Drosophila melanogaster: one gene and its partners. The protein of the gene in region 3 interacts with the protein of the main gene of each other region in a pairwise test. Each region holds a gene or a part of one and is shown on either strand. Other genes may lie near its edges. The genes, in order: olf413, CG3448, Rca1 and GstE10.

The links.
Region 1: the proteins of Rca1 (region 3) and olf413 interact in a two-hybrid assay, tested with the Drosophila melanogaster proteins (one large-scale study listed by BioGRID).
Region 2: the proteins of Rca1 (region 3) and CG3448 interact in a two-hybrid assay, tested with the Drosophila melanogaster proteins (one large-scale study listed by BioGRID).
Region 4: the proteins of Rca1 (region 3) and GstE10 interact in a two-hybrid assay, tested with the Drosophila melanogaster proteins (one large-scale study listed by BioGRID).

Annotation. Positions count from the first base shown.
Region 1 is NT_037436.4:22,132,563-22,141,443, forward strand, and holds the start of olf413 (olf413), read left to right. Parts: upstream 1-3,527; 5' UTR 3,528-4,247; intron 4,248-8,881.
Region 2 is NT_037436.4:9,447,454-9,454,790, forward strand, and holds CG3448 (uncharacterized protein), read right to left. Parts: upstream 4,120-7,337; 5' UTR 4,079-4,119; coding exon 3,371-4,078; 3' UTR 3,092-3,370; downstream 1-3,091. Other genes in the region: CG3529 (uncharacterized protein), read left to right, coding at 935-1,386, 1,448-2,175, 2,236-2,371, 2,565-2,615, 2,779-2,976; ghi (ghiberti), read left to right, coding at 4,527-4,580, 4,672-4,717, 4,845-4,990; phol (pleiohomeotic like), read right to left, coding at 6,077-7,337.
Region 3 is NT_033779.5:6,849,151-6,856,879, forward strand, and holds Rca1 (regulator of cyclin A1), read left to right. Parts: upstream 1-3,164; 5' UTR 3,165-3,271; coding exon 3,272-4,507; 3' UTR 4,508-4,716; downstream 4,717-7,729. Other genes in the region: l(2)k09022 (lethal (2) k09022), read left to right, coding at 5,096-6,264, 6,377-6,639, 6,700-7,729.
Region 4 is NT_033778.4:18,393,928-18,402,079, forward strand, and holds GstE10 (glutathione S transferase E10), read right to left. Parts: upstream 4,466-8,152; intron 3,875-4,465; 5' UTR 3,692-3,874; intron 3,642-3,691; 5' UTR 3,539-3,641; coding exon 2,816-3,538; 3' UTR 2,711-2,815; downstream 1-2,710. Other genes in the region: Idgf5 (imaginal disc growth factor 5), read left to right, coding at 1-527, 594-1,237; GstE1 (glutathione S transferase E1), read left to right, coding at 4,505-5,179; GstE2 (glutathione S transferase E2), read left to right, coding at 5,597-6,262; GstE3 (glutathione S transferase E3), read left to right, coding at 6,830-7,492.

The DNA of each region.
Region 1 (8,881 bases), on a different chromosome or scaffold from region 3:
CTCTATGGGCAGCTTTTAATTATAGTGATTTTAAATTGCCTCTCAGGTAATTATTGTATATAGCTGTAAATTTCTCAGTTGCATTCTAATCCACAGATTGGTGAGTCCTATGAGGTGCTGATAACAAAGTTGGGGACTCTCAGTCTTTAATAACTAATAAATCAAAATCAATAGATCAAAAAGAAATCAAAGAGTTTGTAGATCATATATCCACTATCCAAGTCCCCGGTCTGACTATCCACCAATGATGGCTGGGCAATCTGTTCCCAGTGGACGGTGCAACCAAGAAACCTTCCGATTGGCGCGCTCACTCACCTGCACAGGTAACAGGTAGATCGCGGCCCTGCCCTTGGAGGGAGAGCGAGAGAGCAGGCTACTGAGGGCGTGAATTGAGTGCATACTATGAATACACACAGATGCCCGATGACTGACCCTCGCGAGTGAGTTATAGGGAGGGATGATGCGCTGGGTTAATGACCCTGGTCTTTAGGGAACACTTAGGAGCAGTGATCTTTCAATCTAGTTAATATGTTGATACCAGGAGAAATTGAAGACAGTATTAAAGATCATCACCATCATCTTTTGATTCTGTGATTTTCGAGACATACGGGCAGTGCTGGGCTCGGCAATTAAGGAATTCAGTCGATGCTTCATTCCGTGATTCGTGAATATTTATTGAATCTATGGTTTGCTTGGCCAAATTGGGCTTTTTAATCATATTTATCCGTCTGTAAGATCGCTAAAATTTCGGAATTTAAAAGAGCTAGAATCAATGAACTATTTGATTAAGTGGGGTTTAAGTTTACAAAAAATCATTCACTGAAAGCACTGAAAGTTCTTCACTAAAGTCTATACATTTTTTTTGCCTTATTATCAACTAGTTAATATTTTTGTTTTGCCAAAACAACAGCAACATGTGTATATCTTGTCGAGGGCATTAACTTGTCTCCTTTCGCACCCTTTGACCAATGGACCATGGTCACGAGACTAATCCCGATACAGTGGTAAAAAAGGGGCTTTCAATCTACAATTTATCTGGGATCCCGGGGCCATCAACTGATTGATTGACAAGCCATTTACATTAACTTTGACGAGCGGGCGGTGGAAGCAATTAAAGCCAGCCATAAACTGTCAACGTTTTTCTACGAGTGTGTCAAAGGTCAGCGGACAACGAGAAGAACAAAAACAACAGTCAGTGGCAGGAGGGCAAAAACAACAATGCTGTCAGCTAATTAAAAATGCACATAAAATGTAAAACAAACAGCGAGGAAACTAATGACTGCAAAATCAATACATGAAAAAGTGCGGATAAGGTGAGACAAAAAATAAATACAAATAAATAACTGAAAATAATTAATAATTTAAGAGCTCAAGCGCTCGCTGTCGGAAAAAATGGAGTATGAAAAAGCTGACGTAAATAAATTAAGGCGAAATGAATTCAAAATTCAGCGCGTAAATAAATAATAAATATCATTACGCTTAGTTAATAAAAAACCCAATTAAGGCCTCGAAAGATGCGCCAAAAGAGAAGTCCGTTTTAAATCACATTTTTCGGGCAGCAAGAACGAAATCGGAAGAGCGAGCTTCCGACGATCCCATGAATGAATGAATGTCATGAAGTCAACTAGGAAAAAGCACATAACACTCATTTATTAATGTACCATTTCAGCAGCCACCCACTGGAGTCTTCCACCACCCACCTCCCACAACGAGAGAGTCGAATGGCGAGAGAGAGCGGGAAATTCGACAGAAAATGAGTTGCGAATGGGGCATGCAATGGTGTGGGTGTATAAACAAAGCAGAGCCTGCTCGAACTTTAAAATTTATTGCTTTGTTCATAGGAATTTTGAGTAGTTTTCAATCAAGCCCAAAAAAAAACATGAGGAAATGTATGTATAGAAAAATTCTCACAAACGGTTCCTCTTAGCGTTTCTCGCTTGACCATCATTGACCATAAATTCATTTAAAGTACATTTTTTCAGAGTGTAATTTTTAGTTTTTTTTACACGTAAACGTTTTGAACTCTGTAATAAATTCTTTCGCATGCCATGCGCATTTGGTTGAATTTTGCTCTCAGTAATAGTGACATTGAAATCTTGTCTGTCAACAGAGCATTTTCCTGAATGTTAATGACTGGAAGCTGTCGAAAGAGAAGAGATGCTATGCTCTCTTTCGCTGTTAGCCCCACTGTTACTGTTAGCCGGCTGAATTGAAACTGGTTTTCGCTAACAGAGTTGATAGGATTGTGCGGTTGACAGTTGAATTCACGCAGTTTTAGGGCTTCGCTCAGCCTAATCCGTTGCTAAGGTATGGAGTTACTCACCCAAACTAAATGATTGCCCACAGGTGCAGTGCATTACATATTGTTAACAACCCGTTTTTGAGGGGTCAACTCCAAAGGAATTGCGTCAATGCATTAAATCCTATACACAAAAATGTTCTAAAACACGAGTTTTTAAAAATTCTACAAATTCACGTATTCAATCATTAGATAAATATATTTTTACTTATAAAATATCAAAAATGGAGGCTATTGATAACGATTTCTGTGAGCAGACGCTTTTCAATCATTTAACAGTTTGCCTTTACAGTGCCTTTGTTTACATGTTAACCTAGGACAAGAAACACGTCGCACCACTCCAGTGACAACAGCGGCCGTTACAGTCATTATTTTAAATGTTAATGGACCGTTCAATGCGCGCTAACTTTCTGTTAACACACGAGCCCTTAGTTTATGGGCCTGTTAAACGGTTGAATGTGAGTGCCGACTATTAACATGATTGTTTGCTTGCGGAATAAGTTCCCGTTGGGCGATAACTAATTTTACGTGTTGCGAATGGGATTTCAGCACAGAATAAACCTCTTTTATACCTTGTCTTTCAGACACTTTATAATCCCGGAAAGTATTCTCTGATTAGGATTGCTCCAAACCTGAGTAGTAACATTCAAATCCATTTGTATTTCTCACATGCATATTTTTTAATTTGATTATGATTAAACGTCCCTTGTCGAATTCTACGGGTGGTCGGGTTGTTTTGTTTGATTGGAAAATAGGCCGCGTTACAGCTACGAAAGTTGGATTTCTCACGAATCCACGGACCCATCATCGATAACTTCATTAGCCATAAAGTTTTTAGTTTTTCCATTTCCTGAATGACTTTCATATGTGGCATGCTAAGCAGCAGACGAAAAGTATAATTAATAAAGCTCATCGCTGGCCACTCCCCCTTCCGGTGGCTGAAAACAAGTGCCTTTGTGTAATGTTCATTTGCATGGCGCGCGGCACAAAAATGTTGTGTACATTGCGGTAATTAGGCTACGTGCATGGCATTTGAACCCTTTCAATTGCCGTCTGGCATTTCAATTGCGCTTAACAGATGCACCTGCCGCTGTTGGGAAAGCCCTGTTAGCAACTGGAGTTATGTAAACGCTAACAGAAACGCTCTCTTTCTGCGCAGAGAGCGGCTCTCTCTTTGCTATTGACTCTCCGCCGAGGTGACGTATTTTATTTTACAGTCGAACGCGAACCAGTTACTTCCGAAGTTTCCCAGCGAGCGGTACACGGGCGGGCGATTTGTCCGAGAAGTGAAACAAGTCAGCATTTTTAGCACGTCACGACGAGGCAAGCAAAATCTTAAAAGAAAACACGAAAAGGCGAGACAGAACTGTGCGTGAAACATTGTGCATCGTTGCGAGTGCTTCTATTCAAAGCACCCAGCGAAAATATGTAAATAAAACGTTGTAAGCTACAGAATAAGCCCGGTTTCACAGTGCGCCCCATTCATATGCAAATCGGAATCGGTGCCGCAAACTAAGCAGCACATAATTTGCGAATTAAATCAAAACACACATCGCTCCGTCTCGCTCTTTTGAGCCGGCATCCTGGCAGCAACAACAATTGCAGGACATTAAACGGACGCCTGGCTGAACGTTACGCGACGCGAACCGTTAACCGTTACGCTTCCGCTTTACGGCTTACGTAGCTCGCGCACGGGCCTGTGTGTGTGTGATTTGCGGATTTAACAATTGGCAACGGGGCGGATGAGAAACGCGATGCCGCCCACGTAATGTGTGCCGAAATTTAAATTGCACTCTATGTATACGACTGTGTGTCGGCGTGAGTGTGTGTGTGTGTGTGTGGATAACGATTACCATAAACGTAAACAAAGGGATTAGACGTTACGTTGCCGGGATTACGCCAGCAGTAGCGACAGACTTTTTCCGATAGCTGCAGCTTCCATTCTCAGGTGAGTTTCGTAAATGATGTATTACCTGAGAGGCATGCGATGTGGGGTGAGGGCGGGGCGGGGATCCTGTGGCGGCACTTGTGGTTGCTGTGTGTGGCATGTTAAGTGCAATCCATTATACAGATATGTGCCTTGCACATGCAGGTTTGCTCTCCTCTAGCCTCCAGCCTCTCGCCTTCTTTGTTGCCCTGTCCCTTTCTCCGTTCTGTTCTATCCTGTTTTTGATTCTGTTTCTGGGCTTGCCTTGTGTGTGTTTTCGGTTACCACAAAACTTAGCCTGCGCAAGTGTGTGTGATCTCCGCACGGAGTGAAGTGGGGAGTGGCGGGGGAGCCCCTTAATGCATCCATCAACTTCATTGGAATGCCATTCAATCAGCATTCCCTTTTTTCCTTAGAGTTTTTGCCGTTTTGCATTCTGCAGTTGCGCCACAAAAGAAAATGGGAAAAGTGACACACTTAGAGCGGGAAAACTGCTGCAGGTGCACAACTCATAGGGCGCATCATTTCGGTCGTTCTTCTATAACTTTAAAGTATTTCGCAAAAACATTAAGGGATCTATGGAGAAAGATTGTGGTTGAATGATGCAATTTAAATAAACAAAATATTTTAACGTTTTTCTTATCTGACAAAAATGCATAGGAAATAAAAACAGTTCATAGAAAACATTTTCAAAGGTTTTAAGTGGTGATTTTGTTGTGATCAATTGGATCAGCTGAGTTAGTAAACTCGTGTGTTAATAATGGACATACAAAAGTATGGTTCAATTACGCTCTTAAATTTTCCAACCACTAGCCTATGTATAATTTAAAAGCCCAAGTTTTGGATGGCGACCCGTTTGTTCGAGTTTCAGAATAGAAGTTTCACTATGCTAGTTCGACTGTCGAGAAATGTTCAACTTATGGAATATGGAAATTATAAAGATAAAGTTTTTGTTGTGCTCGGCTGGCAGCAGGAACCAAATTGAACATATTCGTTAGCCCAGTTCCGTTGGCAAGACGGGTTGGAGCGCCACAAGTTTTGATTCGGGGAAAGTTTCCGAGACAAGAATATGATAGCTTAATTGGAATTGCCGAATGCAGGCGAGCGCCGAATGCAACCAGAGAGCAAAGAGCGAGAAAAGGAACGGAGAGAGGGTAATTAAAAGTTTTGTCGGGATACTGTGGCCAATGTCGAAGGTCCCCGACGGCACAGAATTGAATACAATAGTGTACGTGTATACTGTACGTATGTAGACCATTTATCGAAGGGCTTTCCGGCTTAGCCAATAGTTTCCCTTTCAATAACCATCCGTTGCCTAGGCGGCCACCCCTATGCGATCCCAATCTGATCTGGAATCGAAATGCCACAATTGATTGATTCGATGCCTAATGAACAGCAATAAAAATTCATTTGGGCTACTTACGACCGCCACTTCAGGGTTCAGCGCCACCCTCCTCCACGACCAGCTCGGGCCACTTTCAATTGGACTTTTTTAATTACCAGCCAAACATTAAGAATTTTATTCTCGCTATATTGAAATATCGTATGCCGGGTATTCCCCGGCGCTTGTCATAAATATTTTAGCAGGTTCCCGAGCTCCAAACAGAGCAACACAAATATTTTAACCATAAAAATTGGCAGCCCGGCGGGAACCGGCAAAAAATCCTTTTTCATTGCGCTCCATGTATGTATCTATGCGTGTGTGTGTAATGTGTGTGCACAGGACGAGCGAGGTGTATGAAAAGATACAACAGTGGCAGTAAAGAAAAACGCATTTTCCAAAATATTTACACAGCAAAAAGGAACAACGGCAGAGCCGGTGGAGAAAACTAGAAAAAGACCAGAAGAGGCGCTCAAATAAAACCCAAATAAAATATGAAACAGGGGACGTTCGGCGGGCGGTAGGAGCTATTTTATTTTTCGGCTACAGTTTTTGTCGCCCGGCGATGTCCTCTGTGGGGGTGACTATGGTGTATCTGTATCTGGGCGAGCTGCAGTAAATAAATATACGCGTATCTCTGATGGGGATTTATGGCAATGAGAGCCTCGGTCCCGGCGCAGCTCCTCTTGCTCCGCCGCTGGCCTAGGACTTAAATAAATGATAGATTGAAATTTATATAGCCTATGGGCCACGTTGCGCTACCCGCTCGTTTCCCAGTTCATATTGCACATTTTAGACACTGCTCGATGGGTTTTGATTTGCTCTCGGGTGGCATACTAAAATCGGCGGCACATAAATTGACTAGGTAACTAAATCTATGATGTATCTATTTTCGCACCCGAAATTTCAATGCAATTTCCATGCTGGTTAACATTTGCCACTGCGGGTCGGCTGAAAAGTGCTCGAATCGCGGCGGGGTAAGTGAAAAATGTACCATGCTATTTCAGGGATTTATTTGCCGGAATTCGGTTGCCAGTCAAGAGGAATTTGGCCCAGAGATATTGTAATTCTTATGAAAATATTTCAATTCCTGTTTCCCATGTTTGTAAACAGTTGCATTGATATGAAAATCACTTTCAAATCCCATTTAAATGGCTGGGTTGAGCACCTGAGTTGAGCATCTATGCCTCGATGATAGAATGCTTTGTTTGCCTTGCATTTTCATTGATACATATTTACACAATTTCCAACAATGTTTCATAATTAATTTTTGTGCTTTGCTTTTCTATGCCCAACCCGACCGCACATTCAAAATGCAATAACAAAAGTATAACAGGGAAGCGGCAATATGTTTGTTTTTCCAATATTAAAACTTTGCCAAAGGGGGGCTGCAAAAATGCGATGCAATTTATATGAGCCAATTGGCCAAAGCAGCAAAACTGCAGCAATTGCAACAACTGCCACTTCAATGGGATATTTCGGCTGTGGAATTGCAATTTAAATCTGTATGTTCGTTCAGGTAAAATTAATATTAATTTTAATGAAAAGCAGTTTTAAACTGTATCCCGGCCGAGTACAAAAAGGATTGTTAATATGTAATACCCAGAGGAAATCCAAGGCCAGAGATGCGATCAAATCACAACCGAACTGAGGGCAACGAGAATTTGAATTGTGAATGGCAAGGCCCAGAGCTAAAATAACTTTATTTGCAAAAATGGGAATACAAATGGGAATTGAAGTTTGAAGAAAAGGATGCGAGCAGATAAAATGGACTGGCGCCGAAGTATGCAACAGTTGAAAAGCTTCCTGGAAATTAAATTTTAGCCAGCAATTCACTCAGCCATTTATTACTTTTTAAGTGCGATTTAAAGTCAGTCTGTCTCCCAAGTGCCTTAGACTGTGGCTTATTTTCTGGCTTCTGCGAGCTTTTCCAATTTCCCTGCAATTTTCCAGAGGTAACCACAAGCACAAACGTCTCCCCCCTTTAAAATAAATTCTCCCTAAATGGTTTCTCTGCTCATTTTCCTCTCAAAGCTGCACATGAGCTCTGCCTGCTGACTGTAAAATTAATTTCATATGGCAAATGGATAAGAAAAATGTTTTGCCACACAATCTATGAGAATTTTAGCCCAGCATAGCAAAGCAAGCGATGGGGAAGCGGGAAATGCCAAAAATGCTAAATAAGATGGCTCACATATCTAAAACCCCAAAGAAGCTTCAATAAATAAATACGTGTGTGTGCCCTCCTAGTCGGACGCCCCTCATCTCGATTCTTGGGAAGTCTGGTTTAATTTTGGGAAAGCGCACTCAAATGTTAATTTCATTTCCCGTTCGCCTTTTGTCTGCATTTCTCTGGGCCTCCGACTCAGTCGCAGTGGCGTCCTTAGCCGCTTCTGTCTCACTCTCATATGTATGTATAAAAAAAGATGATATTCGTATTTAATTTCAATTTCAAAGGATTTTCCATGTATTTATTCAAGGACTTTATCTTAGGCATAAATTACGGGCCAACGAACGAACGAGCGAGCGAACGGGTGCGGGCTCTCCACTTGGCTTTCCGTCTGCCTCTGGCTTTCACCTACTTTCTAGCCGAGCCCGAAAGGTAGCCACCCCACCAAGCCCCACCCCACACACGCACACTCTATCGTCCTGGCTCTGCAGAAGCCGGGATCCCCTCTGGATCCCAGTACAAACATTGTCTGGCTCTGAGCTGAGGCTGGAGCTGGAGATGGAGATGAAGCTGGAGCTAAAGCGGCTCCTGCCGCCTGTGTTTGCCAAACTGTGGCTTCCAGGTTATCTGTCTCACTCTCCGTCTCGACCGTCCTTCTGTCGTTGTTGGCGACGTCGTGTGCATTTGGTTTTCATTTACATATGAAGCTCCTTAATAATCCTTTTGTGCACAGGACACAGGCGGTGAAGCGAGTGCCGAGAACCACGTGCACACAATTCGTGTTGCGTGCGCATAAGGAAATGTTTAAATATATGCAAATCTAGTTAAGTGTAATCATTTAGCACAAGAAAAAGTGGCCCTACTGCTACCAGTTTCCCAAGTAAAAAGCATCCTTTGTAAGAAGTTGGCTAAGGAATTTAGAATTTAAATGTATTTAACGCACAAAAAGGAAGATATCAACAATGGGCAGCCGATAATAAAGTAATAAATTTTACATTCCCATACCTTCATTTTTGTAAAAGAATGTCATTTAATACGAAAAGAATGAAGCAATTCTATGAGTAGCTCAGTTCGCAGGCTTTCAGGCTTATCTAAAGGCAGTTT
Region 2 (7,337 bases), on a different chromosome or scaffold from region 3:
TATGCGGTTCCAACAGGCAGGTGTGACAAATCAGATAAATGTTTGTTGGTATGCTTTATGAAATTGCTCACCTTTTGGCACGCACACAAAGAGTATTGTTATTGATGCGCTCTTTTATTGTTTGATTGCCTGTTTTCCCTTCACCCCCTCCTGGCGGCCACCTGTTTTGCGCCCTTAGTAATCGCAATTAGTCATCGTTGCCGCTGGCCGCTGGGTTACATAAAAAAATGTGTTAATTTATTTCGTGTTCCCCTTTGGCTCGCATTTTCGCCATAATTTCCATTTGCCGCTGCACACACAACAAACACAGATACACACATTTACGTGCAATCGTGCATATGTATTAGTGCCGTACTAATTTGTTGCTTCGCTTTTTTTATGAGCTCACATTTTGTTATTGTATTGCGGTTGGTTAGCTTTTCCCATATCTCCTATATCTGTTGGATATCAGTGTTACGATATCTGATATCTGAGAAATACACTTTGCGCAATGGTTTCGTTTTGGATTTAAACAAATTGCTTTGTGCATTTTTAATTCGAGCAAGTCATTGCACTTGGTAGATCCTAAATTATAAACGAAAGATAATGCTCGCCCACCTGTTAAAAAACACAGTTTCAGCCGCCCATAAAAACAAACAAAGGAATGCAAATTGTTTACTTGGGTTTTCACACAGAAAACGAAAAAAATAATTACATCTTTCGGATCAAAAACCGCACAATTTACTTGGAATTATAATTAAATATATTATTATAATTAAAATGTAACGAGCGTTTTCAGAAATAAGATACAAATTTAAAAAAAAAAAATAGGGATACCTTTTTTGTTTTTGTATTTATATTACATGAAATATTGTTGCAGTTTTTTTTTCTGGAAGAACGATAGATTTAAAAAGATCTTAAGGTGTCAACTAATACTTACCTTCTCACCTTTCAGAGGCCGCCACCGATGCCAACCTGGCCTCGGAGAACTGGGCCGCCAACATGGAGATCTGCGACATGATCAACGAATCCTCCGACACTGCACGCGATGCTATGCGTGCCATTCGCAAACGCCTCTCCCAGAACGCCGGCAAAAACAACCAGGTGGTGATGTACACGCTGACCGTCCTGGAGACATGCGTGAAGAACTGCGGCAAGGCCTTCCATGTCCTGGTGGCCCAGAAGGACTTCATCAACGAGCTGGTCAAGCTGATTGGGCCCAAGAACGATCCACCAGCCGCCATGCAGGAGAAGGTTCTCAGTCTGATACAAATCTGGGCGGATGCGTTTAAGAACCAACCGGATCTCAACGGCGTCACCCAGATGTACATGGAATTGAAAAACAAGGGCATCGAGTTTCCAGCCAACGATCTGGATGCCATGGCACCCATTTACACGCCACAGAGGGTGAGTCGCTGAGGAATCCTCTTTACTTTAACCATAATAAATGCTTTCATATGCCTTTTAGAGTGTTCCCGAGATGCCCCCTCAGCTGGTGGCCGCTCAGCAGCACACAATCTCGCCTCAACACATGGCTGCCGCTGCTGCCGCCGCAGCTGCAGCCGCAGCTCCACCCAGCACAGGTCCTTTGCATTTGACTCCCGAGCAAGCGGCTAAGCTGCGCTCCGAACTGGAGATCGTTAGCAACAATATGTCCATCCTCAGCGAGATGCTCAGTGTTCTGAAGCCCGGCCAGGAGTCGCCCGATGACTATGCCCTGCTCAATGAGCTCACCTCGACCTGCAAGGAGATGCAGTCTCGCATCGTGGATCTGATTGGACGTGTCCAGGACGACGAGCTCACCGCGGAGTTCCTGCGCATCAATGACGAGCTGAACAATGTGTTCTTGCGCCACCAGCGTTACGAGAAAAATCGTTCGCAGGGCCAGGGTGCTGGTGTTACCTCGCCCTCGGCTGTGCTGGGCGCAGCCATGGGCCTGCCCGGTGTGGGAGCAGCTGGAGCAGGAGCCACCACGGTGGCTACGCTACCACCTCCGCCCACAACTACCGCCGTGAGCAATACGCCGCAAAGTGACCAACTGCTGATCGATCTAATCGAAAGCAGCGAGGAAGCCCAACTGCCACAGAGTTTGGGACAGATCAGCCTGGGTGGTGGAGCACCCATTGGGGTGCAGAGGAGCGCACGACCTGCCGATGAATTCGATATGCTGGCACAGTCGCGCACCGATGGCAACCAGTCAGTAAAGAGTGCTTTCCAATCGAGCTCATCAAGTATTAACAATAATTCTTTTTTTAGTAAATCGGACTTGCTGCGGGACATTCCCTCGGTGGACGCTGCTGCTGGGAGTGTGACTGCCACCGCCTCGCCTTACAAACCAAATCAACCGCAGCAGGCACAGCGCTCAGCCGGCGAACCGCCGGTGGTAAGTAAAGTGAGTAACTAGCCGCCGGACAGCCGGTCTAACTAATGGCGTTCGATTTGTTCCCTTACCTTTTGACCTCGTTTTCGCCATTGATTTACACTATGTGTCTAAATTTGAAAATATGTTTTGGTTCTTTTTTGTTCTATGCAAATTGCGTTTGGTTTTCGTTTCGTTTTGTTGTTCGGTTGGCGCCCACACACAGTCGACGAAAGAGAATGAGATCGACGAGATGGAGGCGTGGTTGGGCAGCTCAGTAAGTAGCCATTCGAATAGCATTTTGTCTTTTTCTAAGCTCATCTTACCATGCACTCGGCTTCAGTTTCTCGATTTACATACTATTCCTTTGCTTCTTAGCTTCTGTCATCCATTTTCGAGTACTTAATATGACTAATGAGTCATTTGTTTCCACCACACAGCACATCGAGGGAATTGAGGAGCTGACCAGCTCGGAGTTTGACAAATTCCTAGAGGAGAGAGCCGCTGCCGCCGAGAATCTTCCAACGATCAGTGCATCGAACTCCGCCGCCAGTGCCACGACAGGATCGGCAGGAGCCGATAGCTTACGAAAGACACCAAAGAAACCGGGCGCCGAAGAGGATCTGCTCGCGCTCTGAGTGATCTCCGCCAGCACCATCATCGGCTCTAATTGTTTACTCTTTCAAATGTTATACACACCCTAACATACTTATCCGTAACGTCTATTTGATAGCAGATACATAGTAACACTTTATGTAAAATGCTTTTATTTTTTACAAAAACAGCAACGATAACTATTGATTATATTCCAAAAAAACAAGCGATCTTTTGTTGGTCTAATTGTAAGCCACGTCTACACATTGATGGTAATTTAATGTATTACGTTACAAGTCTATTTGTTGTTTATTTATACATACATTATAAAGCTAATTTATTTTACAAAATCGAAAAGAAAAACTAAAACAAAATGGAAATACATTTCAAGCACATACCGATTTCGTCTTTGTTTAAATATTTATATTACTAAGGGGCTTAATCTGAGTCGTTATCTATATTCATGACTTGAGTAGCTGCTCCGTAGGCATCGTCCTCGTCATCAGAAAAAATCCTTTGATTATTCTTTGCTCTTGATACTTTCCCGGATCGTTTTTCCAACTGACTCTCTAAATCCCGGATGTGGGCCTTTTTGCTGTTCAAAAGCAGCAGGAATTTCTTGAGAAGTTCCTCCTCCTTCAGCTTGCTGTCCCTCACATACTTTTCATATTCAGCCAGGGATGCGGTTGTCTGGGCGTCGGATTCGGTGGCTGGAGCTGCTTGTGGCTTCTGCTGACCAGCTTCGATGGCTGCATCCAGCATCTGGTAGCAGTTGGAGACTTTTCTAAGCGGAACATCCAAGTACAGCGTTTCGTATCCTTCGCATTTGTACACTTTGAACGCTGGTTTTTCGACATCTTCCATGGATATTTCATAATCAAATCCTTGGAGTCCCATGTGCGTAGTTACGGCACTTTTGCACTCCGCAAAGAAAGCATCGTAGGCCTGTTCCAATTCACTGGCTCCACTTCGAAACTCATCGTATTTTACAATTGACCGGTAGTTTTGATTGTCAGAAGTGGTCAGGATGTCAAACTCCACGTCGTCGTCCATCCATTTGCTTCGGACATAAATAAACGGCTTTACGTCTATTTGACTATGTGAGAGCTGAGAGCGTTGAAGTAATTTAACCACAAAGGTGGACATGTTCGGCAATATTTTAGTTTCACAACTAAATGTAAACAACTGTTGCGGGGTTTTTAAAACAGCTGTTTACAACTGAGTTGTCAGATTGATTAAATGTATGTAATTTTGATAGAGTGCTTATGGCGAACGTTTAAGTGTACGTATATGTACTCTTTTCAGTAAAATTAAATAAATAAATACATCTTCAAATATTTCCGAGAGCTCAAATATTTAAGTTCTAATTAACTTTAACAGTCGATATACAACCCTTCTATTAGCATTCTAATATTTTATTTTATTAAACACGCATTTTGCAGCACTAGGCGGTCCAAATTATCGATATGACAGCGATATCGATTAACCGTGTTTAAGTTAGTACACAGCCAGTAGGAGGAACTAAACAAATTAAACGCGCTGCACCCCTATTGTTTGTCCTCTTTTTAGTGTTTTACTCGATTCGGCACCCGCAATGCTTGACAACCTCGTGGAATTCGCCAGTTACTGGTGGTTTCGATACCTCATGGTATGTAATGGTCATAAAATTACGCACATATTCCACCTGAGAAGCTGCGCTCCACGGGATTTTGATTTAAATGAACCCCATTAACTTGCAGGTCACCGAGCTGTACATGGTTGAAAAGTGGGAGCGGATAACGATACGTGAGTGTTAATTGCTGTTAATAAAATAGCACACCCTCGAACTAGTTGGGAATATCCGACGGATTCGTCATGCTTCTGGAGAATTTATACGCTTATCAGGGTTATTATTGCTCTCGGTTCATTGCAGACGTCATTTTCATGGTACTCTTCTGCGTTTTCTGGTACTTCAACTACTCCGTGCTGCTCTCGCTGGCCGGATTGATTGGCCCAACAAGTGCCTCCATCGCGGATATTATTCCCGGAGTTCAAGGACATGGGCTCAAGGTCACCTAAAATACCGATCAGACCATGCCCAGACCAATCGTGTGTACTGTTCTCCGTTCCAATATCCAAAATAGCCGCGTATCTGTACCTCGCCGCGATGCTTTATCTAATCCGCACGCGTTTATACACCGCAATCAATGAATGGAACGTAGCTGTAGGCGACACATGTCCAAAGAGGCGATCTAATCGCTTGCTGATCCGAATCTGAAGTGGACAACACCCGGCGACTGTCCATCAATAGCTGCCTCACCGTTTAATGTAGTTATCTAGCAGTAGTTACAAGTTTAAAGTCAGTTAATAAATCTAACGCTTACACAATCGCACTGTGAAATAGTTAAAAAAAGAAATGATAAATGATATACGCAAGTGTTGTTGCATTGTTTTCCTGGTTTATTTTTGTTTAATTTTGAAGAGGTATTTCCCTTGTTTATTCCGACTTAACTGATGTGCTTCCATTTGTGAATTATTGTTAGCGCCAACAGACGTTGAACATGCTAAATCCGTACTTCAATGCTCTAAGTGTTATAATTCATTACAAAAATATATAGATAGCCTATGGTGTATGCGTATTGAATATGGTAAAACTAGTTTTGTGTATTTTTCTTATTTTTTTGTTTGTTTTGTTTTCGTAGAAAAGAAAGTGCGCGTTTTGTTATTCGAGCGAAGATCGCACACGATTAGTATCAGATCAAATTGGGGCTTTTTAAGGTGACAGTTTGGCTGAGTTCTTCGGGGATTACGGTTCAGTTTTGGTTTTGCGGGGGGACTCACTTAGCCTACGGTACAAGCTAAACTCTTAGAACTGCTCTTCATCCGTGAAGGAAATTAATTAATGGCTACCATCTAACTTCCTTTTGCACTGCAATCCTATTTTGTTAGAGAATGAACTTACACTACTTACTTAAAGGGCGGGCAGCGGGCGGATGTGTTCACCAGGTGACAATCTTGTCCGGCCGCTCCGCTCGTTACAGGTTACAGATACAGATAAAAACTGGCTACAACTAACTGTACAATAATGCCTTCCGGAGCCAAAGGAGCTTTAATATTTTAACCATCTCATGCCAATACCTGCCACACATTAAAGCGCACTACTAGTTAGGATGTTAGGGACGTGCCATCCAGCAGCACCGACGCCACCTCCTCGTTCTGTTCTACGTACACTAGACGAGGATCCTCGCCAAACTCCAGTCGCCCGTATCTGGCCACCAGCGGTGTCTTGTTGTTGCTCACTTGCGGTGCGCGCGGCCACTTCCTTTTGGGCTTCGTGTGCGTCAGCATGTGGGACTTGAGGTTCGTTGACTGGGCGAAGCACTTGGAGCAGCCATCAATGGGACAGTGGTAGGGCCTATCGCCAGTGTGTATCCGTACGTGGGTGCGCAGATTGAAGTCCAGCGAGAAGCGCTTGCCGCACCCCTCAAAGGTGCACTCAAAGGGCTTCTCGCCGGTGTGCACCAGCTGGTGGCGCTTTAGCTTGGAGCTCTCTACAAAGCTCTTGCCGCAGACGTTGCACACATGACCGCGCGGTCCGTGCGTGTGCATGTGCTTGCGCATGGCCGAGTGGTTGCGAAACTCCTTGTTGCAGCCGCGATGGGTGCAGCGAAACTTTGGCTCCTCATCCTCTTCGCCGGCCGCGCCAGCTGCTCCCATGGCATTACCAGCCGTCTGATTGGCCACTGCAGTCGGTAATTTGGTTACAATTGTGGGTCGTTGGGGTCGGGCTGGATTGCTGGAAGCCACTAGTGGCGGTGGGGGATTTGGTGTCGCCACCTGAGCCGCCGCCGTGAGTTGCCTCTTTGTCACCTTTGACTGATTTCCCGCACTTTTCAGTCGCACATTGGTGCTGCTGTTCTGGAGCACTAGTTTTGGGAGAGCCGGCTGTGGATTCGGTACACATCCGTTGACCTTCGATAGCGCTACCGACACAGTGGCTGGACCTGGTCCCGGTGTCTGTATCAGCTCCACATTATTCGGCATGTTCTCGATAAGCTCGATGTTACCATAAGCTTCTTCCAACTGGTTTTCCGCATAGATCAACTGTTCACTTAGCGGCTGGCTGTCCTCCTCGCCTTTGACATCGCCCATAAATGCATTAACCACCTCCTCCACATCCGTGACCGCAGAGGCGCTGAATGGATCGGGTAGGATGACGTACTCGTTGCCGATGCCATCGCTTAAAACATCGTGGTTGATCATGTGCTCGTCAATAATAAGCTTTGGCATGCTGGGTGATCCTTCATTCTGGGCGGCGGAGGAGGACGTCACGGATGTGGTGCCAGCACAACCAGGTGGTTCCTCCAACTCCTCCTCCTCGTCCTCATCCTCCGAGTTGAGCGAGGACCAAAGGGTGACATTGAAC
Region 3 (7,729 bases):
TAGTTGGTCACTTGTAGAGAAAGTGCAAACGTTGAGATACCCTAGAAAGCAGCAACATTAAATCTTTCTAAACATAAGAAGTAAAAGTGACATTAAGATATTCTTCAAACTTTTTAAAACTAGGGAACATACATCCATTAACAACTCAATTTTAACAAGTTAACAACCTACGAAAGGGTAGCAAGAATGAGTACTCATATACTTATAAACCCACCGCCGAAATCAAACACAATCAAGCGAATTGGGTTCCGTTCCAGTTTGAGTTCCAGTTCGGGTTACTTTGCTTGCACAGCCATTTGAGTTTGTCCGTTCGTTTGGTTAAAAATAATCCGACCACTTCGCGTGGCCGCAAGGACACCCAGGATGGCCTCCCACCGCGGTAAACATCGTTTGTCAAATGCTCCGACTGCCCCGTCCAGCTCCAAGCCACGACAACTCACAATGCCATCCTGGCCAGCTCCATCTCCAACTCCACCCCATCCTCCATCCTCCACCTTCAGTTCCAGTTGCAGTGTGTCCAGTGTGGATGGGTGACTTCCTTCCTTGGTCGAAGGACTTACGTGAGTCGCGGCCGTGCGATAAAATAACCGGTTACAAAATATTTGTTGACATTCCGCGGTAAATTACCATAATTAGTTGATTCGAGCGACCGACCCATGTTTGATCGGGCTGTCATGGGTTAAAGCACCAATGGAGTGGAATGGGTGTGCGTGCAGCGACATAATGCCAAAACAGGGCACTGCCCACTGCCAAAAGGATAATAATTAGAGCATATGTACGGATTGAGTGCAAATATTGACAGGAGCTGCCCTTCCTTTCCCCCATTTGTCATCATTCCGGGTCGTTCTGGTGCGTAAACTCAAATTAATCAGCCGCATATCAATATCCGTGCAAACATAGCTCCACATCAAAACATATGTATGCATATATGCGCTACATATGTCGCGACCTTTTGGACATGGATTTGCCTTGCCTCAAGGATTTTCCCTCAGCCATAAGGAATTGTGTTCTGTTGACAGTAGTTTTTGGGGTGAAGGTTAGTTAGCATTCTCGAAGCAGGACAAGGCAAATAGATTCATGGTATGGTAAAGTCGCGATTTGTACAGGAAGTAATGTAAGTCCTTAAAGTAAAGTCAAGGAAATGAGTTGAGACTTATTTTTGAAAACAATATTTATGAGTGCAAGAGCACTACTTCATTATTCAACCAACAACATATTATTTCTAGCAAATCTTGTAATATTTTATATAATACTTTAAATATCATTGCAGTTATCTTCTATATACACCTAAGATAAATCAATGCCTAGCACATATCCCTAGTTCGACTCATTCGGCTCCCATTGACAAAGTCATTAGTTAACATCCCTCTGATCTCAAAGCAAACAGGGTGACCACGACTTCCCAGGACCGAACCAAATGAACCACAGATTAATCCCAAAGCCACGACGACAATTAATATGCTGCCATATCCACGCCCGAAAAAAAAAAAAGATGGGCAAACCGGTCAGTGGAAAAGAGATTAGAACAGTCAAATGACTTTAAATTAAGCCGATGTGCGTCTGTCCGTCGATTTAATTAAAATCAAAACAAAATCTTTGCCCGCCGACACGCCCCTTTTGGTGGCAGCAAATAGACAAATAATAAAACCATAAATAATGCAAAACAATAAACGAGCAAGTATTCATAAATTATTAACGCAGAAGCTGCTGGCCGACAAAAGGCAGCGCAAATACCCAAAATATTTTGCCAAAGCATTTAGAAGGACAATGAGGCACGAACCAGATGACAGAATCCGGGGTAGAATAGCAAATCCCCGCAGCAAATAATTGAGCCTCATAAAGGAAATATCATTCATTGATTTTCCCCCGGCAACCACAACAGATTCTCGACCTCTCATCTTTCCCAGCAAGTGGATGAAGTCGTCGGGCGGTTGCAAATGGTCCTTGGAATGGGAATGGGCACGAGCATGGGTTGGCCAGTGGTGGTGGGTCATGGGGCTTCATTTAGCTGACTCTATGGACAGCTGACGAAACTATCCACCTAGCGGCGAAGGAAGACTTTCACATGAATCCCAAATCTATGCCCCGTCATGATTTGCACAAAAAACTTGAGCTGGCAAATTTGTCAGTGGGCACAAAGGACGCGGCAAAGAAGAAGATGAGGGAAGCGGAACGGAAAAAATCTAAGGACGAGTCAGGGAGAACAAATGATAAATTATTGAGGGATTTTCGTTAATTTGATGACACTGATGATGGCCAAGGCCAGATTATCCTGACTGCCGAATTTTGATTGGGCCAAACAGGGAACAGAAGACATATCTCATAAAATAATTTGTAATGATTTCAATTTTAATAGATATAGATATACTTATGTTCGATTAAAATCTTTTTGTTATAGGCGTAGAAATTTAAATAGCACCATATGTCAGCTAATCGAGAGTATTTTTATAAGCTTATCAACATAATTTTACCAATGTCTTCAAAGCTAAGACGATGAAATACACTTTTAATATATATAATATAATATAATAATATAATATAATATAATAATATAATAATAATATATAAGATGTTAAACGGAATCCCGTTTTTATAAAGTGAATGTTTTCAAACTATTACTTATTTCCATATTTAATAAGTGAAAGTTTTCTATTTTCGAATTGGTATTAAAGCAATAAGCTGAGTATATAGGTATTTATTTTATACTTATGGCGTAAGGCATGGAAATATAATTTATTGAAAGTCAAATTCTTGGTGTTTTTAACTTAATGAACTGATTATACATATTATTTATCACTCTTATTCTTTATTTTACTTCTTTTTTCGAGAGCATTAGTCGCAAGTGCGTCTTCGCTAGCTTTGGAATGTGTACTCGCTAATATGGAAGTATGTACACACTGCATAGAATGAAAAAACGCTATCTTATTCCAGAACCTCAAATCTTGTACAGCTTGAACTCTTTTAGACATGTTTATAAATGGCTGAAGTTGCTTATGTTAATAGGAGTCTACGATTAACTGTCAGATTCCAATAATCCGATCAAGTGGCATCTTTTAATGCACAAGTTTAAATGGTTTGCCTAACAGTCACGATAATATATATCAAATGGTTGGCAACGCGATACGTAGCATTCTGAGTTGACCCGACAATGAACTGGTATCTATTTAGTAGCCAGTTAGTATTTTATTGGGGCGGTCACACTGATCCGTACCCAAAAACAATCAACCGATGCGAAAAGCATAACAATTCGAAAGTTTAAAATTCGGTCAAGATGAGCGCCTATTATCGGCGCGCGGCGTTGCGGAAGAAGAGCCCAAGCCGAGGGTCATCCTTCGAGTTGGAGATGAACGAGTCTGGCTACACATCCTTCCTGGCGCTGCACAATTCCACCGCGGAGACGCCATTTTTATTGGAGGACGCTGAGGGCGAAAACTGTCGCAATGCATCGAATACCACAACATTCTTTCGGGGGCTGAACACGCCCAGTGGCCACCAGGAGCAGGACCTTTACTGGGGCAAGCCCTATCCCAGAACACAGCCCCAAAAGAAATTTTCCGCGGAGGAGGAGCCTTTCTCTATGACTCCGCGTCTGCAGGATGAGCATAGTCTGCCCAAGCGACGCAAGAAACACTTTCAATCGCCACACAGTAGCCCCAAGAAGTCCAAAAAGCTGCTCTTTCCCCACATAGAAGAACCGCCCAAGAATCGCTTCTACGGCGGTGTCGAAAAGCTGGATATCGTGGCCAAGCTGGCGCAATGGCAACCGGCACTGCAGTGCATACTGCGTCATGTGGGCGCCCACACGCTGGACGTGATGACCAAGGTATCGCCGGCCTGGAAGCAGGCTGTTTATCGCAGCCAACGCGACTTGGAGCGCCTACAGAACCACCGACTCAAATTGAATCTAACCAAAGAGAATCCTCACGTGCCCAAGCGGTGCAGCCATGTGCCCAAGGCAAACCACACAGTGCCATTGCAGACCTCGAACCATAGCAGCCTGGCCAACAGCGCCGCCTCGCTAATGGACTCGGGCAACTCGAGCATCCACCTGATGGACGTGGATGCCGGAAGGGTGCTGCGCGAGCAGACGCAGCGCGTCAAGTGTCCGCGATGCGGTCGAGGCAGCCGGGTTTTCATAAGCGAGGCGGCCAAGTGTGGCGAAAACCTATTGTCGCAAACTCTGCCTATTGGACGTACAACCAGCACATTCCCCTGCATGACGGGTCCGCCTCTCAAACGCTTCCTGTCCCTGGATCTTGACGAGGTCAGGACTTCACCGCAAGGACCGCCATATAACTTCGCCGAATGCACCAGTGTCATCTGCCAGTTTCGGTTCTGCGTCAACTGTCTGTGCAAGTCGCATCCCGGCGAGCGTTGCCTGGTCACCGAACTGGACACACCATCCAAACTGATGATGCCACGGGAGCGACTGACGCCGCCACAACGTGCCCAGAACCGTGATCCGAAAATCACAAGGAAGAACTCGCTCAAGCGGCTCTGCTTTTAGCTTTATCATAGGCTTTTAACTATTACGATTAGTATTCGATTTTTTTAAATCTCATTAATTTCGTATTATGTCCATCGCATTAAGTTCCATTTCATCACGTACATTCATATATATGTTTTTAAATCGTTCCATGTAAGGTTTGTCGGAATTCTGTACCTCTGCGAGATTAAGTATTTTTTACACATGCAAAATATATAAATCATTTTTAGAACTATAATTGTTATAATTATAACTGGGGGAAAGTGATTCCTGTTTATTAACATGTAAGGCTTTGTTATTATACATCATTATAACAGGCTTCAAAGGCAGCCTTAATATGTTAGGCAAGTCTTAAAAATATTTTATTATTATTGATTGCATTGCATAAAATAAATTCAAACAGAAAATGTTTAAAATCAGCTGTAGTATACTGGTTTGGGTCTTGGCTAACGCCAATGCGCGCTATTTACCGTAAGCTACTTTGTGTACTGCCAAGAGATCTTTGGCCACACCAACAAAACACGTGTGGAGTGCGGTTGCCGCACATTTATTGTTCTCCGTTTTTACCTTTAATTAACTTGAGAAAAAAGGAAAAAACGATCATCCAAAATGAGTACTGCGTTGGCACAGCAGCTGCAGAAACTGGCTGCGCCGCAGTCGTCGGTAACTTTGGCAGATGCACGAAGTCGCGCCTCCATACTCTTCGATCCCAAGGAGGCGGCCACCAAGGATCGGCGGTCCATTTATGAGATCGGGTTAACGGGACTGCAGGAGCTGACCGACTTTAATCCGGCCTTCAAGGAGTTCCAGCTAACGTTGTTCGATGAGGCCACATTGACGCTGGAGCGTTCCGTGGAGCTGCCGGAGATTAACAAGATGCTGGACGCGGCCATTGCAAAGTTTCTGCGCCTTCTTTCGCCGTACCTTCTGCTCCGCCCCGCACACATGGCCTTCGAATGGTTGCTGCGACGATTCCAGGTTCACGAGTATAACCGTAGCGAAGTTATGGCCCTGATTCTGCCCTATCACGAGACAATGATCTTTGTCCAGATCGTTAAGACCATGAGGCTCCGGTCATCGGATGGCGACTGGTACTGGCTGCGCCCGTTGCAGCGTCCTGGCGTTCCGCTAGCCAAGACTGCTATTATTAACAGAGCCGCCAGCAATCCCGCCTTCCTCGGCTTCATCTGCCAAAGTACCCAGAAGGCGGTTAAGGAACTGGGTCCTCGAGCCCACCAACTGCAAGCCCAGATCAACTTCTATGCCACCGTCGTAGTTGGCGCCCTGCAAACGGCCAAACCACTGCAGGACTGGCACATCACCACTATTCTGGAGTCGCTGCTTCGTGGCCTGATTTCCGATAATATCGACTTTATGGCGGCCGCCTATGTGATCGTTGCTCAGCTTGTTTCCCGCACCAAGCTCAAGAGCAAGGTGTGCAATGCCCTGCTGGAACGCGTGGCCAACTGCCCGTTTGAGAGGCTTCACAGTGAGTCGCTGCTCCTGCTTGTCTGCATCTATGGCAAACAGCAAGCCGCATTGCCGCACTTTAAGCCGGAAACCATACTCAATCTGGTTGGGAAGAAGTGGCTTATCTCCACTCTGTCCTCCCTGGCCAAAGGCAACATCGCCATCCAGTCTATCTGCATGCCACTCATGACCGGAGCCGTGGCCGCCATTCGGGACGATGACGCCTCTTCTAACTCATGCAAACTGTTCTTGGACAACCTGCTGTCAGAGGTGCCAATGCCAAAGCCGACTGCTCAGCAACTGATCAAGTGAGTACTAGAAGTATCGATCGAAAATAATAAAAATAAGAGTTTATACACTTGAATTTAAAACGATTCAGCTGTTCCGATTTAAATAACATATATACTTTAACCATTTCAGTTGCTTTTTGGATACTTATGTAGAGACTGCGATCGATGCACCAGAGCCCATGGAAACTAACTCAAACGAAGATGACGATACCATTGTAATTGATTCGGATGATGAGATCGAGACGGAAAAGACCACCTTTCAAGCCTGGTATTCCACTTACCTCGAGAAGCTGGAGAGACGCTATCCAGAAGCTTTTGATCTGAGCGTTAAAGAGGCCTTGAGATCGAAATCCTCCACAAGCAATCGCCAGAAGGCCTTAAAGTTGGCTTTGGGTAAGTAAAAAATAATAATATTTATATATTTATTGTATATAATGTTTTATTCGATTGAAGGCTTCCGTCTCAACACTACTGATGAAAAAGCGAAGCACGCCTACGAAAAACTATACCACTACAGCGCTGACTGGCGACTTAGTGCTGTTCAGAAACTACTCCAGAATTTGAATGTGACTAAAAAGCGGGAGAGAAGCGTTAAGCTTCTGCAGGAATGTCTGCCCGATAGGATAAATGATGATAGCGGTGCTGTGGTCTCAACCTTGCTATCATTGCCTACCGAAGAGCTCGCCGAGATGTTGGGTCCGTTGCCTCTGGCTCAAACCCTATGTCATCTGCTGTATCGTGCTCAGTCCGAAAAGGATGAGGAATGGCAACCTGTGGTTCCCCTCGCTGTTCGTCACTTGACCTCTGCCTTGGTGAGCGGAAGCTATGACACAAATTTGGTGCTATTAGCGCTGATGCCGCTTCTCTTCCCTGGCGAAGCATTAGCTGAACATCAGCACAAGGCTCTGCGGATTCTACTTGGCAGTGATTTTGTCAGTAAAGTTCCGTTCTTGGCAGAACTTAAAGTGAGCAACAAATTCAGCGACTTTAATGTCGGTGAGCACCGTCAGCACTTCCTGGACATCATAGCGAGCAGCAATCAGGAACTGAGTAGTCAGGAACGTGCGTTGCTCCAAAGCGTAGAAGATCATGGCGGTGAGTTGTACATTCAGAAAGCCTCCCAGCTGACGCACCTGTTACTCCTGCTAACTGCCTACGCCAAGAGGGAACTACAGCCTCGGGAAAGCCTTCACATGCTGGAGAAAATTGGGCTTTATAGTCGGCGCCTCCAGTTCCGTGTCGTCAATGGTAGTCAAAACACACAGAATTGTGCACCTCTACAATTGTATGTGGATTTCCTATTGACTTTGGTTAAGAACACCAAATGGACAGCTCTAGCATCCACTCCTTGGAATCAGATGACCGATGAGCTTCGCCTCTGTCTGCGCCTGCTGGAAATAATATGCGCCCAAGTGTTTTCGGAAAAAGCTGATCAGCCAGAGCGTCAGGAGTGGACACGAGCCCTGCAGCAAAGTTTGCAACT
Region 4 (8,152 bases), on a different chromosome or scaffold from region 3:
CGCTCTACAGTTTTGCAACTTTCTGGTCTACGGCTATGCGGGCATTGATGCCGTAACCTATAAGATCAAGAGTTTGGATCCTTCGTTGACCAATGATCGTCAGCATTATCGACACATTACCGCTCTGCGCAAAAAATATCCGCATGTTCGCTTCCTGCTTTCGGTGGGCGGCGATCGGGATGTGAACAGCGAGGGCGTGGCAGATAGTGACAAGTATCTAAGATTACTGGAACAGTCGGAGCATCGGAAAAGCTTTCAGGCAAGCGTTTTGGCGGAACTGAACAACAACGGCTTCGATGGCATCGATCTCGCCTGGCAGTTTCCCAAAAATAGGCCCAAACTGCAGCAGGGCGTGTTTAAGAGGGTATGGGGATCGTTACGTGGCTGGTTTAGTTCCTCATCGGTGGACGAGAAGTCCGAGGAGCATCGTGAGCAGTTTGCCACACTTCTCGAAGAGCTGCAATCCGATTTGCGACGCGGTGGCCAACTGCTAACCGTCAGTATGTTGCCACATGTTTCAGCGGAACGTGAGTATAATCATTGAAACCATTGAGAATCTCGCCAATATTAACCATTACTTTTACTATCCCTAGTCTTTATTGATGTTCCAAAGGTTCTAAGTAACGTGGACTTCGTCAACCTGGGCACCTATGACTTCCAAACGCCGGAACGCGATCCCAAAGTTGCAGATCTGCCCACGCCATTGTATGCCATGTACGATCGGGATCCCAGTCACAATGTGCAGTACCAGGTGCAGTATTGGATGAACCAGACATCCGAAATCAGTGTCCACAAACTGCACGTGGGAGTGACCAGTTATGGTCGAGCTTGGAATATGACCCGAAACTCCGGCATCACCGGCTATCCACCAATTCCGGCGGCAAATGGAGCTGCACCGCCGGGAAGGCAAACTGTTACGCCAGGATTGCTTAGCTGGCCGGAGATTTGTGATTTGCTGCAGCAGCAACCACAGGATCGCGAGGTTCCCCATCTGCGCAAAGTGGGCGATCCCACCAAGCGTTTTGGCATCTATGCGTACCGGGCAGCGGATGATCAAGGGGAGAATGGCCTATGGGTGGGCTACGAGGATCCCTTGACGGCGGCCATTAAGGCCGGATTTGTGCATGCCCAAGGATTGGGCGGAGTGGCCTTCCACGACCTGTCCATGGATGATTTTCGTGGTCAGTGTGCTGGCGAAAAATTTCCCATTCTGCGAAGCATCAAGTTTAAGCTATAAAAAGAATAGCTATTTGCTTTGAATTTAAAATTTACTAGCTTTCACAATTATCCTTCTACTTTTTTAGTGTATTTTTGTGAAATATGCATGGATTGCAATAAATTTCATTTAAAATAGTAAACGAGCTTTCAAATGGCTTCCGAGTATTATATTTTCTTTAGAAATATAAGAATCAGCTTGTTCATTTAATGAAAACTAGGATAAATTGAGATGCGAGAACGGTGAGCAAAATAAAAAAAAAAAAATAAAAAGCAGGAAATAAACCGGCCAAGTGGAATCCTGTAGAAGCGAAAAAGAAAAAGTAAAAGCGTCCTGAAGTGGCAGGCGGAGCGTAAAGCAAAGCAAACTTCTCAAATGCCACTGACACGATGGGTGGAATTTTCGGGGAGCCATGCTGGCAAGGATGTGGGGGTTGGTTGGTGGACGGGGCGAGATGGGGTGAGTTTGGGGTAAGTAGGGGTGGCATGCTGACTGGTTGGGCCAAAGTAAAAGTTGAAATTAAACCAATTAGTTTGCCTGCCACCACTTTCTCGTCGCCGTTGCAATGAGGCGCATAAAACGCGGCGACACAAGGTAAGTTCCTGAGATGCCCACAAAGTAGTCACGAGTTTCTAAAAACGTTAAAGCTTATGATTTTTTTTCTTTTCTTTGGGGCTTAAATAGGAAGGGAATGCTTTAAAAAAATTTGTGTTTTAAGGCCAACAAAGGTTTATAAGTAGGGAAGAAATTGAAAATAAGTAAGAAACAAATGGAAAATTCATGTACTTTTTATAGATTTCCATACATCTGCAAAATAAAAACAAAAAGTTTTGGAATTTTTGCTTCATAAGAAATATCTTCGGATTGCGTGACTCCAATTTCCGCTCACGTTAGCATCTCCTGCAGGACTTCCGTGGGGCTTGGAAACGGACTTCACCCAGCAGGTATTTAGACTTGGCTCCTTTTTTAAGAGTATTTTAAACGACGGCGCGTCCTTTTTGTGGACTTGGAGCAAGCGAAGGGCGGGGAGTTCGAGACCCGAGCGCAGATAAGAGGCAAATTTGGAAGTGGCATAAAACGGGGGCGAGTTGGGTTTGCTGCGGAGCTGGGCTGGCTAGCTGCTTGGGCGGATGGCGCCGTCATAAATTAATTATGATTTAACAACTTTAGCATGCACGACACGGCAGGAAAACTTTGCGCTTTTCATTTACCCCGCCCTCTTCTATTTTGTGTCGCTTTTGTGGAGGGTAAAATTTTATAATTTTAATGAGCGCAAAAAAGTTGTAAACTTTTGGCTGCGTTGCCATTGGAAATGCACTCCACGCTAGATAGTAATTTATATACAACATAAAAAAAATGTTCGCCATCAAGGACATTTACCGGCCAAGAGCACTTAGATGGCTACAAAGTCTTCAGTTAACTCAGAACAGTATATAGTGAGCCTATACACTGGGAAAAAAAGAAGATTATTCAAACATAATATACATTTTAAATCATTTTGCCAGCAGCGTAAGTTTTAATACATCATATTAAATACCATTTAACATACAATTTTACTTTGGGCAATGCTCTCTTTTCGATGCGACAATGGCTTCCGCATCACTGTTTTCCAGCTCCGCTCTTGATGTCCTCAAAGGCCTTTTGCCACAGCTTGTCAAACTGCTTGGGCAGCTTGGAGCGAATCTTATCGGCCAACAAGCGGGCTCCTCTCAAGTTGTCCTCCTCATAGAAGGGCAATGCGGAGATACGTGCCAACCAGGCGGATAATTTGGGGTATTTGGTCGCATCCACGGGACAGTAGCTCAGGTGCAGAGTGCTCACGGTGGCCACAATGCTAAAATCGGCGATGGTCAGCTGAGGACCGGCCACATAGGGATTCTCCGCCAGAAATTGCTCCAGCAAGGCGTAGGCATCCTTCAACTCAGCCAAACGATCCTTGGGCACCTCAGTGGCATTCTCTTTGAACAGAGCTCTCTGCAATTGCTTGAAGATGCCGTGAAAAAGGACACCGGTCTCGAAATGCAGCCGCTGATCCACCACAGCTCGCTTCAGCGGATCCTTTGGATAGAGCTCATCCGACTGGGCGTACTTGTTCACCAGATAGCCGATGATGGCGTGTGAGTCCCAAATGCATGACTCACCATCCTCCAGCATGGGTACCGTGTGCTGGGGATTCTTGCGTAACATATCCGGCTTCAGATGATCGCCGGCCTGCATGTCCAGCGTATGGAATTCATGGTCCAGCTGGAGGGCACGAAGGGTCAACAAAACGGCACGGACCGGCGGACTGGACTCAGTGCCATATAGAATCAGGTTAGCCATTGTGGTTGCTTAACTAATTGCCTTCTAGCTGGTTGAATTGAGATTCGTAGCAGACAGTGTGCCATCCACAACTGACTCAAGGCAGTCTAAATAATTTAAATTTCTTTCAAACGCGATAAGATTAGATATTAAACTTAGTTTCTTGATAATTACCACAAAGACGTCATAATGCTGCAAGTTTAAGTTTGCCTGATTGTTTATTAATGTCCGGGATAAGTCGGTCTGCTATCTATTAGCTGTGTCAATATTTGATCAATGTCCCCGTGATTTATTTGATCATAGTTGGAGCACCAAAGGGGCTACTTATATACACTGCTAGAAACGTCCAAACGAAACCTAAAGTAACCAGACTCATTAGCAGTGTTTCTATGCAAACATTTTCATATAAATATAATTATAAAATTATGAGTTTAATATTATTACTTCTGTGTATCAGATCATACAATTTTATCCAAAATAACGATAAGCTTTATGCCAGCTTAACTTAAGCTTTAAGCTTTTAGAAACTTTCAAGCTTCGTTAGGAAGACTTGAATTGTAAATTTACATGGGTTCTACATGATTCAAATAGATGTATATTACAATAAATCATAAAACAAGTAACTGTATTAAATTAATTTCTTCTGACAACCAATGTTCCTGAGTTCACAGAGACCTACTTTGTTTTTGATGAGTATATGTTTTTTGTAGTTCACCACTGCATATGGTGTTTTAAAATTAGTATCATATAGATGATTCCAGAACTATCAGTTGGGGGTAATTAATGTTTGTTATGATGAAATAGGCATACATATTATATATATGGTTTTTTTTTAACTGTTTAACACATGGTTTCGAGCTTTTATCTTAGATTTACGAAATGCTCTCTCATTTAGCAAAAAGCTTGAGGCAATAAGGTGTGTATATATGTACAGTAAATAGAGAGATCAGTCGAAAGAAAAACACTGACGGGTAAACAACACGTATCATGTCGAGCTCTGGAATTGTACTCTATGGGACAGATCTCAGTCCCTGTGTGAGGACCGTCAAACTTACCCTAAAGGTCCTGAATCTGGACTACGAGTACAAGGAGGTGAATCTTCAGGCGGGCGAGCACCTGAGCGAGGAATATGTGAAGAAGAATCCCCAACACACGGTACCGATGCTCGATGATAATGGCACTTTCATCTGGGACTCCCATGCCATTGCCGCCTACTTGGTGGACAAGTATGCCAAGTCGGATGAGCTGTATCCCAAGGATCTGGCCAAGCGTGCGATCGTCAATCAGCGTCTCTTCTTCGATGCCAGTGTAATCTATGCCAGTATAGCCAATGTCAGCCGCCCGTTTTGGATAAACGGTGTTACCGAAGTGCCCCAGGAAAAACTGGACGCCGTACACCAGGGTCTGAAGCTGCTGGAGACGTTCCTGGGCAACAGCCCCTACCTGGCCGGCGATTCGCTAACCCTAGCCGATCTGTCCACCGGACCCACTGTAAGCGCCGTGCCCGCTGCCGTGGACATAGATCCTGCTACATATCCCAAGGTCACCGCCTGGTTGGATCGCCTCAATAAGCTGCCCTACTACAAGGAGATCAACGAAGCTCCGGCCCAGAGCTACGTCGCCTTCCTGCGCAGCAAGTGGACCAAGCTGGGCGACAAGTGAAACTAAACTTATATTTAAATATGACATTTCACAAGTTTGAATTCCATCAATTAACAACATACACATCCATTTCTAAAACGTAAACTTCTTCAATAAAATATAACATATATATAAAATATTTAATTTATTTTTTTATTTAATTTATATTTATTTAAATATTTGAATTTATAATAAATACTGAAATTTATAAACTTTAATATGGGACTTGAGTCAGTAATTATTATCTCACAGTTGGGGAACCCGACCGTAATATTTTTATCGCTCATTTATGATATCGTCAGTGTACAATTACAAAAGTTTATTTAAGATACAAATGGGGCAAGCTCAGCGCACCCAATTGGGTTGTTTAGTTAAGCTCGTTTAGATTTCTGTGTGTGGCAAATTTAGTGGAACTTGGGTCTCTCTGGTGATCGCATCATGTCGGATAAATTGGTTTTGTATGGCATGGATATTAGTCCTCCTGTTCGCGCTTGCAAGCTGACCTTGCGGGCCTTAAACTTGGACTACGAATACAAGGAAATGGATCTACTGGCAGGAGATCACTTTAAGGATGCGTTCCTCAAAAAGAACCCGCAGCACACCGTACCACTCCTCGAAGATAATGGTGCCCTTATCTGGGATTCACATGCTATTGTCTGCTACCTGGTGGACAAGTATGCCAATTCGGATGAGCTATATCCCAGGGATCTGGTGTTGCGCGCCCAGGTGGATCAGCGTTTGTTCTTTGATGCCAGCATTCTGTTTATGTCGCTGCGAAATGTCAGTATACCCTATTTTCTTCGCCAAGTAAGCCTGGTACCCAAGGAGAAGGTGGACAACATTAAAGATGCATATGGCCATTTGGAGAACTTTCTAGGGGATAATCCCTATTTGACCGGGTCGCAACTGACCATAGCTGATTTATGCTGCGGAGCTACTGCATCCTCGCTGGCCGCTGTTCTTGATCTGGATGAGTTAAAGTATCCAAAGGTGGCTGCTTGGTTCGAACGACTCTCTAAGTTGCCCCACTATGAGGAAGACAATCTGCGGGGCTTGAAGAAGTATATCAATTTATTGAAACCCGTATTAAATCTGGAGCAATAGTAATTTGTATTAAAAAAAAAATACCATCAAATGCCATAAATACCATAAAAACAAATCAAATCGAATAGTACTACAACTGATTTGTAACAAAAACCTATCATTTTTAGAATCATAATAAAACTATCATTACGTACTGAATCCTAAAGAGAGAAATAATAAAAGAGAAATATATAGATGGAAAAACTTAAATGATCAGTTTTTTGCTTATAGATAGTTAATTTCCAAAAATTGCTGTTTCACTGTTTAATATAATCAACTGGCTTATCGGTTAAATTATGACAATGGTCTTTAAATCCCAAAACGATGAGTAAACAAATAGAAATGTTTAATATGTGACCAAAAGCGCTCTGTATTGTAAAGCTTTAAAACGTGAAGTGTATATATATTACGTATACGACAGCTAAGAGATATGTGGGTTCCAAGCATTGAGTATGACATACTGCAGAGTCATCACAGATGTGCAAAGCTCTCTTAAGTGAAGAGCACCACCTGGTGGCTATATAAAGCCCCAAGTTTCGACGTTTAGTAAGCAGTTACTAGTCAATCGCCTTACAGCACACTACAGACATGGGAAAACTTACGCTTTACGGAATCGACGGTAGTCCTCCGGTCCGTTCGGTGCTGCTCACGCTGAGAGCCTTGAATTTGGACTTCGACTACAAGATCGTCAATCTGATGGAGAAGGAGCACCTGAAGCCAGAGTTCCTCAAGATCAATCCCCTGCACACCGTGCCCGCTCTGGATGATAATGGTTTCTATTTGGCCGACAGCCATGCTATTAACTCCTACCTGGTGAGCAAGTACGGCCGGAATGATTCTCTATACCCCAAGGATCTGAAGAAGCGAGCCATTGTCGATCAGCGTCTGCACTACGACTCCAGCGTGGTGACCTCGACAGGAAGGGCTATCACCTTTCCGCTCTTCTGGGAGAACAAGACGGAGATTCCACAGGCGAGGATCGATGCCCTGGAGGGTGTCTACAAGTCCCTCAATCTGTTTCTGGAGAATGGCAATTATCTGGCCGGCGACAACCTGACCATTGCCGATTTCCACGTCATCGCCGGCTTGACAGGATTTTTCGTGTTCCTGCCTGTAGATGCCACTAAGTATCCCGAGCTGGCTGCCTGGATCAAGCGCATCAAGGAGCTGCCATACTACGAGGAAGCGAATGGCTCTCGTGCTGCCCAAATCATCGAGTTCATCAAGAGCAAAAAGTTCACTATTGTTTAAGGCATTTTAGTATAGACAAAAATAAATAAGAACAACAATTATCATAACGACTTGACTTTTGTACGACAATTTTGCTTAATATCAGTCCAAACTTGTTTTGAGTGAATCGATAAGAGAAACTACTGGTTTATTTTGTGTTTGCTGCATAAGATGTGAAGGCAGATATGATATATGGATCACCATATGTAGTTTGCACACGATTGATGGATTTTAAATGAAATTTTTATGAAAAATGTTTGGCGCTTATATATTTAGAGAAATATGTAAAACTAAATTATTATTAAAACTACTAAGAGGTCAACAGTATGCATGTGAATCAATAAGTTTAGTACTTTGATTTAGCTAGCGGTAATTGCTGGGTTATAACCAATATCTGATAACTAAGCATTGTTTGTTAGAATGTAAAAAGAGCAGGCGGTAAGAGCTTTTGAACCAAAATCGTATATAAAGCTCTCTTACGTCAAAAATCTCTGATAACTAAAAGAGCACGGAAATATTGGCTGATGTCATCTAATTTGGTTTACTGGCCGAGTCATTACAGCACAGCGAAACTCTCTTAATTTAAGAGAGCTTCCCAGTTGAGGGGGAGGCAAGACAGAGATACCCAAGGCTAGATTTGATGCACTGGATGAGGTCTACAAGACACTTGAACTGCTCCTG